2 linked regions of the Tamandua tetradactyla genome follow. The protein of the gene in region 2 interacts with the protein of the main gene of each other region in a pairwise test. Links are inferred from orthologs where the notes say so. Each region holds a gene or a part of one and is shown on either strand. Other genes may lie near its edges.

Evidence for each region.
Region 1: the proteins of LDLRAD1 (region 2) and MALL interact in binary tests that used the Homo sapiens proteins (3 or more experiments, as listed by UniProt). The two-hybrid records come from large-scale screens. The link is inferred for Tamandua tetradactyla from reciprocal best matches to the Homo sapiens genes LDLRAD1 and MALL.

The regions. Positions count from the first base shown.
Region 1 is NC_135343.1:1,889,470-1,896,924, forward strand, and holds the start of MALL (MAL-like protein), read left to right. Parts: upstream 1-4,392; 5' UTR 4,393-4,533; coding exon 4,534-4,638; intron 4,639-7,455.
Region 2 is NC_135328.1:167,435,394-167,443,426, forward strand, and holds the start of LDLRAD1 (low-density lipoprotein receptor class A domain-containing protein 1), read left to right. Parts: upstream 1-4,935; coding exon 4,936-4,956; intron 4,957-5,510; coding exon 5,511-5,565; intron 5,566-8,033.

The DNA of each region.
Region 1 (7,455 bases), on a different chromosome or scaffold from region 2:
AGGGGACTCCATGGGGAAGAGCATGGAGAGAGAATATCCGGAAGATGCAGGGCTTCATATTCTGGTGCAACGCAGCTGTTGCCAGGACAGCCAGGCATCCATGCAGCAAGTGCATCAGTGCACTGAGCACTGCCATGCGCCTCCGGCTCTCGCCCAAGTCCTGGTGACCATGAATTGGAGAATTTTCAGGACCACTTGACCCAGTGCACCATGCATTGCTGTGACAAAGCCAAAGACTCAATGGATGCAGGGAGTAAGGAATTTCAGGTGCAGCAGCAGCTGGGGGGCTGTGTGACCAGGTGTGCGGGCAGCCATCTGCACCCCGTCCCATCCAGGCCCGAGTCTCTGTCACCCATGGGGAAGTGAGAGTCTTTGCCATCAGGGATGTGGGCAGGAATCTTTATAAAAGAGGGCTGGAAATTTTGGTCCTTTAAGTGAAGTTTATGAATGAAGAACTTAAGGATTTCAGCAAGGTTAAGGACTACGTCACCTGCCTCTGGACCCTGGTTCTTTTATATACTTCAGTCCATAAAAAGCAAAATGGAAAAAAAAAAAAAACGGTGCTAAAATCTAGATGAGAGACAGCTCAGGAGTGGTGTTTTTACAGCCTAAACTTCATGTAGCAAGTGCTTGTCCGGGCAGTAGGGCGCTTCTGGAGCCTCCGATATACCAAATTCTTCTCGTTTCACAGGTACTAACAGCTGGCAGTTCCCTTTAACTTGCCTGTTTGAGGAGGTCTGTCTGCTGCCAACCTCCTGTTTTACCAGCAGTATCATCACACCATTTTCCATAAGTTGTAAAACAAAATCCATGAGGTCACTGATTTAAAAGGGAAAAAAAAGGTTTCTGGGTCTTTGATTTCGTTTTATATACAAGGGCCTGAAATTGTTGAAGATGTGGAGTTGAGAGAAAGGGCACTTAGAAAGCGATATCAGCTTGAAGGTGATACAAGTGTTGGAATCGAGACATCAAAGCAGCTCTCGTAGCTATGCTCTAAGAAGTAAGGACAAACACTTTGCAATGAATAGAAAGACAGACGGTACAAAAAAGAACCAAAATGAAAATATATACTAACCAAAATTGTAAAATTTAGTTGATAGACTAAATAAAGATGATAAGGAAAGAGTCAGTGAACTTAAAAATGGATTAGTATGCGTTTCCAATCTGAATAACAGAGGGGGGTATATTGGAAAAAAATTAACAGATCCTCAGGAACCTGTGGGGCAGTATCAAAGGTCTAATATTCATATCGTCAGAGTCCCAGAGGAAGAAAAAGTGTGTAGCACAGAAAAAATGTTATAAGAAATAATGACTGAAAAATCCCCCAATTTTGGGAAAGATACAAAGGTAGGAAGCTCAGTGAAGACCAAACAGGATAAGCTCAATGAAATCCATGCCCGGCTATGTCATAATCAAATAGTTAAAACTAAAGACAGAGAAAAAACCTTGAGAGCAGTCAGAGAAAAATGCATTACATATAGAGAATAACCATTTGAATGATGTGGATTTCTCATCAGAAACTAGAGAGGCCAGGAGTCGTACTGAAAGGAAAAAAAATCAACCCAGAATTCCATAGTCTACAAAAAAGAAAGAAAAGTTATCAACCTAGAATTCTAAACACCAGAAAAATATCTTTCCGGAGTGAAGGTGAAACAAAGACATTCTCAGATGAAAGAAAACGGAGAGAGCATGACCAGAAAACTAAGAGTGCATGACCAGCACACCTGCTTCACAGAGACGCTGCGGGGGGTCTTCAGACAGCAGAGGATGACCCCAGAGAGAAGCCTGGGGCTTTAGGAACAAAGAACAGCAACGTAAATAGTAAATATTTGGGTAAATATAATAGACTATGTTTTTCTCTTAAGTTCTTTAAAATACATGTGAGGGCTGAAAGCAAGACTGACTGTCGGTTTTGAATGTATGTAGATATAACACGTGACAGCTAAACTTAAAGGCAAGAAAGTAAAGGGACTAATGGTGGAAAGGTTTTGGTAAAATATTAATTCTGAGTATATTGTTCAAAATTAACTATGTAGATTGTACTTCCCAGAGCAACTTCTAAAATAATATGAGATAAAGTAAAAACCCCAATAGATGAATTTAAATGGAACACTAAAAATATTGAGAAAACCCAAAAGAATGCAAGAAAGAGGGATCAGAGGAATGAAATATAGAGCAAACAAATAGAAAACAAAAAATGGTAGATGTAAATCCAAGCATATAGATAATTTTATTAATTGTAAATGATTTAAACATCCAAGTAAAACAGTAATTTTCAAATGGATTTTTTAAAAAAATCAAATTAGATCATGCACGCACACACACACAAGCTGCTCTAAGTGTAGTGCTATAGGTAAATGAGAAGTAAAAGGATGGAAAAATGTCTACCACGCAAGCATCAAGGGGATTCTGCATGCAAATACTGTTTATAAGCAACTATAACTTGCATACATTGTTGGTGGAAATATAAATCGTTCGACTACTTTGGAAAATAGTTTGACATTATTGCTAAAAACACATGCCGTGTGGCCGTACTTCCACTCGCAGCAAAAGTGCATACGTACACACACAAATACATGTTGTAGCATGCTCTGAGCAGTACTATGCATTATTCATAATTACCCCAAGTAGAAAGAACCCAAAAGTCCCTGAGTGTAAAGTGGATACATACAGTGTAGTGGGCTCCTTCACTGGGGCCCCAGAGAGCACTCAGTGAGCTACAGCGTCGCACAGCGACATAGCGGAGCCTCACAGACCAGCAGCAGGTGGAGGAAGCCAAACGTGACAGAACCCAGACAGGATCCTTCAGCCCAGGCAGAGCCCGTCTGTGGGGTGAGAGGTCAGAGCGGCTGCCCCCGGGGGAGGGAGGCCTGGTTAGGAGGGACGGCCACTGTTCCATGTTCTGATCAGGACCGTGGTTTCACAGTCTGTAGGTTTCGTGCACTTTTCCAACGAGTGTGTCATACATCAACAAAAACAATTTTTTTTAATTGGAATGAAAACACTAACCAGAGAAGGTGCAGGTCTTGCTGTAGAAAGGAACGATCGCCAGAAGAGAAGTGGTTTCAGGATTCCAAGCAGATAAACAAGTACTTATGAAGTGTCTGCCATAAGCCAGCAGGTCCCAGATGCTTTCCTAGATCTCATTTAATCCTCTCCAACTAACAAGTGAAGAACGGGGAACTCCAGCCAGCGGTGCCAATGACTGCTTACGTGGGTGTCAGGACGACCCTCTAATCTCCAGCTCCAGGCAGGGGGACCTGCAGGCCCTGTGCGGGGGAGTCCAGGGGCCCCCCCTCGGGCCTGCCCTTCCCCAAGGCCTACACATGGCCTTTGACCTTGTCTCCAAGTGCGGCCACACCCACAGCCCCAGGGATAGAGTGCTGAAGCCGAGGTGGTCCGAGAGCACTAAGCCCGGTCCCTACTGGGGCCTCCCCACCTGTGTGCGTCTGAGCAGTACAGTTAGTTTCCCTGTGCGCAGCCTGGCTCCTGTGCTGCACTTAGTCGTATAATCAGTTGTTACCAGGTTAGACGTAAACATTTAAAGCATACCAATTTTAGTAGCCTCGTTTTAACAATGTCTCCATTTCCTATTACACCCCCATGGGCGCAGGAGTGCAGTGGCCGGGGCCCTGGTCCTGTGTGAGCTCTCTGCTGCGCAGGAGGGCAGCCCCCTGGAGAAGGTGGCTTTCCTTCTTTACCTTAAGATGTGCACACTATGTGGTTGCACATCAAGTCAGAGCGAGTACCGAGGGTTCACGCGCAGGTTTCACAAGCAGTGAAACAGGTGGACTCCTGGGAAACGTCGGCCTGGCCTGGTTAATCCTGTGAGCAGGTGGGGCCAGGTGGCAGGCGGGGCCAGGTGGCAGGTGGGGTGGGGCTAGGCTCACCTGGAGGGCGGAGCCTGGAATTCACTGGCTTCCAGGCCTCTTGCCGGCAGCGCCAAATTGCAATCCTCCCCCGTTTGGTCCTCGCCAGGACAGCCGAGGCCAGGACAGCCGAAGCTGGGCGGGGCAGGCAGAGGGGTCCCAAGGCCTGAGCACCCGCATCGGGGGAACTGGGGTCAGCCAGTTCTCAGGGGGGAGGAACAGGGCAACCCAAGGGGGCGCGGCCTGGGGCGGGGGCGCAGGAAGGACCCGGCTCCGGGCAGCCACAGCTGGGGTCTGGGGGATGCAGGGTGGGAGGGGCGGGAGCAGGGGCGGGGCTTCGGCGATTCAGGAGCCACTCCACGCCCAGAACTCGGGGTGCGGTGGGGTGGGAGTGGGGTGGGGTGAGGGCATGGGGGAGGGCCGCCGAGGTGACCCGCCCCCCCCCCCCCCCGTCCTGTGCCCTCCAGCCCCGCCCCCTCAGGGCGTCCCTCCCCTGGGCCCGGCCCGGGGCGGGGTGGGGGGGGGAGGGGGCGCCCCAGTTCTGCCCCGGGACCTGCTGGGCCGGGCGGCCTCTGCCCTCCCCGCGACGTCGCGGGGTGTGGCCGATGGAGGCTATTTGAGGGCGGGCGGTCGCACTGCGGGGAGGCGCAGGCAGGGTGCGAGCATGGCCTCCCGGGACCCGCCCGCCAGCAGCTACAAGGGGCCCGAGGTGCCCTCGGGGATCGCGCTGCTCACCACCGTCCCCTTCGCCTTCTTCCTGCCGGAGCTGGTGAGCGCCGGGCGGGGGGGCCAGGGCAGGAGCTGGGCCAGGGGAATGGGCCGGGGAACAGGGTAGGGTCACGGGCACAGGCCAAGGCAGGGCTGGAGGGCAGGGGGCTGGGGCAGGGCAGGAGGCTGGGGCAGGAGTGGAGGACAGGGGCCGGGGGGAGGTCAGGGCCCGGGCAGAGGGCAGGGGGCTGGGGCAGGGTCGCGCCTCCTGCGGCACCCGGTGGTTTCGGTCCCTCCAGCTCTGGATCCGCCGCTGTCCCCCAGAACCAGCCGCTCCCACTTGGGGCTGCTCACCGCCCCCGCGGACGGGTGGATTTCCTCTTTCCAAAACAAATCCCACTGTGGGGCGGGCGGGCGGGCTGCCGGGCCGCTGGGGGTGGGGGGGGACAGGACTGAGAGGCTGGGGGTCTCCAGAAGCTGGTGGGGCTGGACTGGCCCGCGGGGACCCCCTCCCCGAGCATGAGTGCCCGGAGAGGAGTCCAGGCCCCCGGGAGTCTTCGGGCCATCTCAGAGGTCAGGATGGCGACTGATAACGCGCACCCACGCCAGGCGGCGTGTGACAGTCCCTGCCGCAGAGGGGGCAGGAGCTCCCCAGGGCAGGTGAGGTCCTGTCACCATGGCCCCGCCCACCTGGTCTGTCCCGTCTGCAGCATGGCTCCGCACGGGCCCCCAGTGTCCCCTCCTGAGCCGGCTGTCGGTGCCCCTTTTCCCGATGGGGAGACCGAGGCCGGCTGAGATGCACGGGGCAGAAGGAGAGCACAGGAAACGCCTTCCCAAGTCTCTGCTTCTGGGTGACCTTTTCCCACCTGCTGGGAGCTTGGCCCGGCTCCTGGGTCCCGCCTCTGGCCTGGGCCTGGCTCGCCTTAGGTGCCTGGCAGGCAGCCCGGCGGGACTGACCTCCTGGCCACTGGTGAAAGGGCGCGCAGTGATGTCAACGTGAAGGGAAGCCGGCAGGGCGGGCCGCCTGTCGGTGACTCCAGCGGAGACCCCACCCGAGGGCGGCGGCCGGACACAGCGCGGGCGTCTGGTGCAAGGGCCCTGGTAGGCGTGTGTGCTGCGCCCCACCCCACCCCCAGAACCCACACGGGCCAGGGGGCGCCGCAGCCTTTGTGGGCACATGGTGTCTGTCAGCAGTCCCGCCTGGACAGAGGACACTCGGACAGGACTCCCCAGGTGGGGGTGGGAGGTGTAGAGTCCCAGTGCCCAGCTCAGAGAGTAGCCCCGGGCAGGGGCTCTGCCGTGCTCCGCCCCCCTCCCCCAGGGTGCTGTGCTCATGGGAGCATCCCACCGAATGCCGAGGAGCAACATGCTTGGCTGATTTGGGCTCTTGGAGCTTTAAGTATTTTGCATTGTCACTAGTTCAGTTTTATTCATTTATTTTAAAATAACTTTAGGTATACAGCAAAGTTGCAGAAATAGTGCAGAGCATTCCCGGGTGCTCCTCTGGAGTTCCCCTGATGTCACGTCTTGCACAGGCAGCTGGAGAAATCAGCAAACTGATATCAAATCCTCGCCATAGCTCCTCCATAGCCGTATCTGAATCTTGCCGGTTTTCCTGCCAGTGTCCGTTTCCTGTCCAGGATTCCGTCCACGCTGTGCTGTGCTGTCCTGTTAATCCAGGACACCTCCTCTCTCTTTGCCTTGACGCTGCTGCAGAGCCCTGACCGGTTGCCTTGTAGAATGGCCCTCAGTGTGAGCTTTTTGATTTTCTCATTACAGTTTTGTTCATTTCTTAATTCATGAGCAATCCTCGTTCATGGGCGAAAACTTAGAAGATGTAGAAATGTAGTTTCTCTGTGTTTTGGTTTGCTAGGGCTGTAGAAGGCAATATACCAGAAATGGGTTGGTTTTTACAACAGGGATTTATTAGTTTATAAATTTACAGTTCTAAGTCCATGAAAACGTCCCAGTTAAGGCATCAGCAGGCTGACACCTTCTCTGAAGAAAGGAAGGCACATGGCGCGTCTGCCGGCCTCCGCTCCTGGGTTTCGTTGCCTTCAGTCCTGGCTCTGTGGCCTCCTCTCTGAGCTCCTGTGGGACCTCCTGGCATCCCCAGGGCTTCCCTCTAAGCACTCTCAGCCTTTCCTGCCTTTTTATCCCCTCGTAAAGGATCAAGAACTACCTTGAATAGAGTGGGTCACATCTCCATGGAAACCACCTAAACAAAATGCCCCCCTCCCCCACAACAGGTCTGCCGCCACAGGAGAAGGCACCTGGCCTTTTCTGGGGTGCAGCACAGCTTCAGCTAGCACACCGTGAAACTGGGGCCTATCTGTGCAGCCCTGCCGCGCGTCTATGTACCCCTGCAGGACTTCGGCAGGCTTAGTCTGGGCGGGCTCCCCCTAATTTAGCAGGAATTACGGGACCACGAGTCATGGAGGTCAGCTGGAGAGGGGGCATTGCCCCGGGCAGGAGGACAGACAGGCAGACTGGCCCTGAGTAGGGGCCCTCCGGCCTCTGGACACCACGCAGAGGGGCCAGCCACACAGCCCCGGCTGTGGGGGCGCCTCAGACAGGAACGTGTTTCCTGGAGACAGGAGTGCAGAGCGTGGATCCTCAGCTGGGAGGTCAGGCCAGGAAGAAGCCGCACAGGAAGCAAAGGCCAGTGACCTGGAGCTGGCGCAGGGTGAGTGCCAGCGGCACCCCGAGAGCCAGCTGGGCGGGAACCCCCACGTGGGAGCAAGAGAGTAAAGTACAAGGGAGTGGAGTGGAGAGCCGTGGCCCCTGGCTGGCCGGCGCAGCCTCGGGCTCTGGTAACAGGCGAGGAGTGGCCGCACCCCAAGTGCGGGTTCTCGGCTGCCTCCTCTGCCTGCAACCA
Region 2 (8,033 bases):
ACATCAAGACAATGGTTTTGCATGGATATCCTATCGATCCACAGTTGACCCATTTAGCAACCACTTGAGAGCGTAAACACCAGGCCTTATGGTAGGTGATAATTTGCAACAACAAGCAACACCCAGAGCCTGACTCCAGGTTGCTCAAAGAAGGAGACAGACTATTCAGGTAATAAGTGCTATGACCAAATAAGCACAGAGCGTTGGGGAGCATGTAGCAGGGCCCCTAACTTTTGAAAGTGATATCCAAACTTAAAGCTGGTAGAAAAAGAAAAGACAGACAAAATACAGGGAGCAGTGTTCCAGGCAGTAGAGACAGTAGGCTCATGACACAGTGGTAAAAGGGTGGGGAGTTGCAAATTGTTTAGTAGGCTGAGATGTAAAATGCTAAAGCATGGCAATAGTTGGATTGGAGGGACCAGATAATAAAGGAACTTATTAAGCCTAAAATTGATCTTGAGCACAATAGGAGCCATTGAAAGCCTTTAAGCAAGAAAGATAAGTGTTTTAGAATGGCTCATTCAGACAACAATGAGGAGGATAGAAAAGAGGAAGAAGGTCTAAAGGCCAACAATATCAACCTTTAGGATCCATTAAATTATGTAGTCATCCAGTCTGTACCCTCTTGCAGAACCACATTGAAAGTAGCAAGAGAAGAACCTGCTCTAAATGGGAAATTCTATTCCCTTATCAAGTTTTTTTTTCTCATTCCCATTAATCCTATTTCCTTTCATTTTACTTCATTTTTATTTTTGAACGCTTATCTATATATATGGCTCTCTGTTCCCTCTCATTGTTGTTTTGGTGGTAACCCTAGAATTGGTCTAAGGGCACTGGTCAATATCTAAGTGATGCCAAGCAAACTGGGAAGGCTTCTCCATTGATACCAAGTTCCTTCATGTGGGGCTATATTTTTAAAACTACAATGCTAAGGCAATTTGACACCATCCACTAATTCACCCCCCCACCAGGTTTCTAGTTGCTAAGACTGTCATATTTGCATTTGAGATCATCAGTATGAGTAACCTTTTTCATCTTTCTTTTTTTGACCTCTGTTCTAATTAGAGCCTGGGTGTGGGGGTATATCCAGGTAGCCTGTGGGAGATTAGTTGTACAATTAGTATGGATTTTCGGACGTCTTGCAGTAATTAAATTCTGAAGCACAGTATATATCCCTTTTCTGAAATCTGTATTGTTGAGACCAGGTACATGTATTTCACTATAAATACATGTACCAGGTGATGTTAGTGACTTCTTTGTTTAGAGCAAGGATTCTTAATTTTTTTTGTGTGCCATGGACCTTTTTGGTGGCATCTGGTGTAGCCCATGAACATTCTCAGAATATTGTTTTCAATTGCATAAAGTTAAATATGAAGGACTGCAAAGGAAGCTAATTATATTAAAATACAGTTATCAAAATATTTAAAATTTTTTGTTAAACAGTCATATATATACTTTTATACACATAAAATAAAATATAGTGGTAGGTCCAGAACTACTAAAGTTTTGAAGCAATTTCAAGGTAATGTTTTGAAATCACCAACTGAAATATGATTATCAAAATATTTATGATTTCTATTGGTGATAAAGTCACAGGTAGTGCTAAAAATATTGTGGCTTGTTGACTAAATTCATAATGGAAGGAAATGCTGTATTTCAGTTAGAAATTAATGAAAATAAAGATTTAACTTTTTCCATACAAATTTACAGAACCCATGCTTTAGAGGTTGTTTAATATTCCTTTGTCATTTTAAGAGTAAATTATTTTTGTTTGTTCATTTCTATATTATTTGGGCTTAATTTTACTGCCTCTTGTGTGCTTTTTTATGCTTGAATTGTTTTTGCAATGTTGGAACAGCAATTATTGAACGGCTTGGGTGCAAAAAAATCAGCAACTGATTAGAAATGAGAAGTTTCACAAAAGCTCTTAATGTTACCTCAAGATATAACATCATGTAGTCATTACTGGAAAATCAAATCTGTTAAATTCATAATGCTTACACATGGTAAACTTGAATAAAATTTGAATCATCTGCATTAAACAATATTATAATGTTATCTTGTAAAAGTGTCTACCTAGATAATTCTCAGTGGAGTTTGTTGATTCCCCATGACATTTGCAAAATTTTTCATAGTACTCTCACATATCACCTTAAATGGATCCTTAAAACATTTCTCCAGAAAGGCAGGATGGGGTTTAACTTCTCCATTTTACAGTTGAAGAAACAGTCTTGGAGAAGAAAAGTGGTCAGCGGGGAACCCAGAGTTATGGAAGGCACATGGGAGGAGTGATAAGTGCCAAGTCAAGCACTGAGCCTCGCCTCTAGGCAGTTCTAGAAGTAGATCTCTCAGGTCCCAGGGTCAATCTGTTTGAGTGCCCACTTAGCATTGTCCAGCCTGGAGCTGGTTCCTGGATTAAAAAGTAGCCCCAGCCCTCAAGAAGATCTCCCTGTAATTGGAAATAGATTAGAACATTCAGAAACAATATTGCACACCTAAAGGGAGTAGAGCACCTTCATGTATGTGCACTCTTCATCTTTGCTTGTGCTCTGCGAGGTGGAGCTTCTTATTCCCATTCTTCAGACGAGGAAGCTGAGGCTTAGGGAGAGTCTCCCTTACCCTCTCGAATTAGATAGGTATCAATTTGCAGTCAGGATGAAAATCCAGGTCTGTCTGATTCAAGCTGGGGTTTGCTGATATCACATCCAGTGGGTCTCCCCTAGCCACACCCATTTTAAGATGGGGGCACAGACCATAAGGAATGTAGGGAAAAGTAAATCCAGGGAAGGAGGGAGGGCCAAAGAAGGCTTCATGTAAGGAATGAGGTTTTACCTGGTCCTAGACAAGAAAGATGGTTGAATTTAGAAAAAGAACTAACAGAAGTCACCCTAAACAAGGACAAGCCACACACTGGGAGGAGATATTTATAAACCATGTAACAAAGGATTCAAAATCTAGCTTAAAGAAGTCCATCAAAAAGACAAACTACCCATAGAAAAAATGGGCAACAAATTTGAAAAGCAATTTACCAAGGAGGAAATCCATATGACCAGTAAATAAAAAGACAGCATAATAGTGTAGGACAGGGCTTCTCAAATTTTAATATGCATTTTAGAATCACCTGGAGGTCTTATTAAGCTGCAGGTTCTGATTTTGTAGGTTTGGGGTATGGCCCGAGATTCTGCATTTGTAACAGGGTCTCACTCAGATGATGCAGATGCTGCTGGTCCATGGACCACACTTTTGATAGAGAACAATTCAGCCAGCCCAGATCTGAATCCTCACTTTGCCACTTAGCAGCTGTGGAGCTCGGGCAAGTAACTTCTCTGTGCCTCAATTTCCTCATCTGTAAATGGTCCTTATTACCTATATTTGGGAGGATTGAATGTATTAATATATGTAAAGCATGTGGTACAACACATGGCAGAAATAAGTGCTCAGTAAATGTTAGCAATTGGTGGTAGTAGTGGGAATAACTAGAGAAAGGCAAATTAGACTGACCAGACTGGCAGATGTCAGAAAATCTGACAATTTCAGGTGCTGGTGAGGCTGTGGGGAGGCAGGAACTCTCTCACTTTGCTTATGGGAGTGCAAAGTGGTACAGTCACATTGAAGAGCAGTTTGGCAGTATCTGGTAAAAGTGAAGATGCCCGTACAGTGTGATTCTAGATGTGTGTTAAAGATCAGGCTAAGGAAAGAGACATACACTAAGATGATATTTATGTAAATGTTGAACAACACAAAGGTGATACTGGATATTTTAATGCAAATATACATACGTAGTTAAAGTATAAAAATCAGTCACTTAGAAGCATACGCGGGCAAATTTAGGAGACTTACTGACTCTGGGGAGGGAGGGGAGGCAAATAGCACTGGGAAGATAGAGACCTTCAATTTTGCTGTACTGAATAGAAAAAATACTAGAAAATAGCAGAAGTAAAAATGACTAAATGTGAACATTTGTTAGCTCTGGGTAGTGGACATACAATTACTTGTTACATTATTCTTCCTACTTTTCTGTATTTTTCTTAAGTTTTGAAAGTTTTATGCTGAAAAAATATTAAAGGGGGGAGAGGTTGGAGCAAGTGAAGAAAGTGGGCTTGGCAGGTGTTGGACAAATAGAACAGAGGCTCACCTGTGAGGCACTGGCTTTCTTCTGAGATAAGTGGAAAAGTTTAGAGAGGTAGATAGGGAAGCTGAAACTCAGAAAAGTTAGTGACCTATTATCCCAGGTCACAAAGCTAGTACTGCCAGTTCCAAAGCCAGCGCTCTTGCTACAAGTTTCTCAGACCTGGGATTATTCAGGTGAGCAACCTGCCCCTCACCATGCCACTTCCCACCTCAAGCACCATCTCAGAAAAAATAAAAATGCACATTGCTACTTTCTAAAGAAAAATAATTTTAAAATTACATTTCCATTATTGAGTCCAATGGGAAAATGAGTATTCTTTCAACTTAGATTTACCTACTTAATTAAAAAAAGAAAATGAAAAATGACTCTCTGCTTTTTACCCACCAAAAGGTTAATTCTGGCTGTTTCTGCTTGCATCTTATGCAGCTGGAGGACTGAGAGCCTCCCGTTTCATCACTGATATAAAGGAGATAGCTCATCTTGAAAAGTTCCTGGGTTCAAATCTCACCTCTCCCAACTACTGTGTGACCTATGGGCACCTTCTTCCTCTCTGAACTTCAGGCCCTTCTTCCATAAAATGGCTACAGAGTGGGGAAGGGGCCCTCCTACCCTTTCCTTTGCCTGGAGGAAGTTGAGCACAGCCATGAGGGGCTGGAAGAGAACTGCAGGGTAGCCTGCAAGGGAGGGTGTGGCCTGGGGTGAGACTTCTCATCCTCCCTCCCCCAGGCTGCCCTGGTGACAAAACAGGGAGCCTACCCTGAGTCCACTCTAGTCCCTAGAGACTGGAGCTGGGAGTCCGAGACATGAACAAGATCTTCCCCCAGGTAAGTGCTGCTCTGACCTGATCTCGGGAGCAAACCCTGGTGTGAGGCGTGGGCAGTGAAAAAGGAAGATGTTAAGACTGCCTGCGGGAGCCACTGAGGTAAACCTGCTCTTAGGTAGGGTTTCACTCCCAGCAGGTGAATCACCTACACAGCTCAGGGGCAAGTGCTGGGAGGGAGCCAGAGGAGCCAGATGGACAGGAGGCTAGAGGAAAAGTGTGAGCTACATTATCAGAGGGGGCAGCAGAGAAAGTCTCACTGAGGAGGAGCCACCTGAGCTGGTTTGGGGATGAGCGTTTGCCAAGCAGACAGTAGAGGAAAAGGCATTCTAGACAAAGGTATCCTATAGGCAAAGGTGTGGAAATATGAAGTAGGCACGATGTGTTTGAAGAGCTCAGCATGCTGAAGTGTCAGGGAGCAGTGGTTCTATCTGAGATGGGGGCCAAAAGACTGATCTACTCTCGGGCCCTCAGTCTCCCCTTCTGAAAAACACTGAGGTCTGACTGCCCGAGGCTGGGCCTATGCTAAGCCAGGCCTCACTCTGTTCTCTTGAGCAGGGAGATGTCAATGGCAATGCAGCTGCTGGAAGCAAAGCCCTCTCTGAAGGGGAAGGTAATGGACTGGAGCGATGGACTGCGATTCCCCTGAGACTGGGCAGCTGACTACAAAGAGGTTCCCCCAAAGGTCCTACTGTCCCCCAGACCTCTACCCTCCATGTTTACGTCTACTCTCAGCTTCCTGGCTGGTCACGCTGACAGCCACTGACATAATAGCATCGGTCATTCTCTCCACTCACAAGCATTTACTGAGTACCTACTGTGTGCTGCCTACCTCACAGGCACTGCACCATTTACAGGACCCACCTGTATTTCAGAGAAACGAGCTCCAAAGTCAAATCCAATAATTTCCCTGGGAAATTATTTTTACCTCCGAGGGATCACATACATCTGTATCATCTATGTGCCACTGACTCACTGTGCAACCAAGACAGTTCTCTTTATCTTTATGAGATAAAGGAAGGAGGGATCCCACATTTATTGCCCATCAACTCTATGCTCCTCTTGACCCATATTTATTAGATCAGTGAAGAAAAGACCCAGAGAAGTAGAGAATAATAATAATAATAGCTAGAAAGGGTCGGATCCCTACTATGTGCCTGGTACTGCATGGTCTCTTTTCATCCTCGGGACAGTTCTGAGAGGGGGTCCTTGTTAATGGTGCAGTAACAGATGATGCAGCTGGGACTCAGGGAGGTTAAGTAACCTGGCCAAGGTCACAGAGTTGGTAGGTGGGAGAGGCAGGATTCGAATCCAGATTGGGGGTCTGTGTGATTGCAAAGCCCTAGTGCCTTCCATTGCTCCACACTGATGTTTATTTCCAAGTCCTGACTGGTGGTGGGGGTGATTGTAGGGCAATGGCCTCCTTTGCCCCATCTGTCCAGGGAGGAAAATCGACATTTGAGAGCCTTTCCAGCTTTGAAATGGAGCTGAAATCGTCACTTGATTCTGTCGCCTCTCCCTTGAGTCTCTTGCTAACCTTGCACATGGACTCTGCTGCACAAATATTTGAGGAGTGGCTGCTTGGCCATCTAGAACGCCTCTCCTTGCCAGGCTTCACACTGTCTCCCTGGTTATCTGAGTTTACCCTGTGTTTGCCAACAACAAGGGAGCCCTGACTAGGCTCAAGGGATGACTAGTTTTAGATTTATGCTTCATTTTCTACTACTGTCTCCTCTCCCAATACACACCAACCACACGGGGTCCGCCACTGCCCCCACATACCTTTCATGAGACCTTCACTTCTTCTGTACTTCTCTGCCTGGAATGACCTCCCTTTGCACCCTATACCCTCATCTATGTGAAAAAGCCCCCGTTCCCCAGGCCCCTCCATTGAGCTCACACAGCACCTCGCCTAACCACACTTACTACCTGCCACTGTAAGCTGCCAGTGTGCTAGGTATGGGTCTAACTTGTCAGTGAGTGCAGAGTAGGCAGCTCCAAAAATACATGTGTATTGGATGGAAATGGCCTGAGCTGACATGAATTGGGGGCCTACCCTAGACTCCTGGACCTCTGTGGCAAGCCTTGCCCTTCTTCTTTCAAAAATACTCACAAATCACCTACTATGTGCCTGCCTCTGGGCTGTACTCTGGGGATACAGAGATGAACCAGAACCATTCCTGTCCATTTCTCTGAGATAGCCGAGGCCTGAAACATGGTAGTTGTGCCCACATTCTCCTTTTTATATGCCTGTGCCTTGTCTTCTACGTGCATCTCCTAAGGGCCAGATTCTCTGCTTCTTTGGTGCCCCTTGCAGAGTAGGACAGCCAGTATGGTCCTCAATAAAGCTTTATTTCATTATTTCATAAGCAAGCAAGAAGTAAAGGACCAGAGATAGCGCTTATCACTGCTATTTCCACAATGCTTGGACTAGAGCTTAGCACATAGTAGGTGCTCAATAAACACTAAGAATAGCTAAAACCTTCATAGCACTTACTAGGTGCCAAGCACTGTTCCATTGACTAACAACCTTCTCGACAACTCTGTAGGGTAGGTATTCTACCTAGAAAATGAGGACACTGAGGCCCTGGAGAAGTGAAGTGACTTTCCCAGGGTGACCCAGCTAGCAAGTGGCAGAGCTGGGATTCCAATCAGTGTTTTCTGGCTGACTCCAGAATGGACAGTCAGAGTCATGGAAAGGGCAAGGGTTTGGTATCAAACAGACATGGACTAACATCCCAGCTCACACCGGTGACCTGGAGCAAGTCACTTCTCCAAGTCTCAGTTTCCTCATCTATAAAATAAAGAGCTATTATAAAAAATAAAAATAACAACTTTGAAGGGCCGAATGCAGTTTCTGCCCCATGGTAGGTGTCCATCTGTCCCTCGTTCTAAGGAGACAGACTCACGGAAGGATAGGAAAGGTGTGGGCTGGGGGATAGAGAACTGGATCTTCATCCCAACTTTGCCGCTCACCAGCTACGGGACCCAGGCTAGGAATGGGCTTTTGGTGGGCAGTGGGCTCCCAGGCAGAACCAGAGAGCTTCATGGAGGGCTTAGGAATCCCCTCTTCTAAGGAAT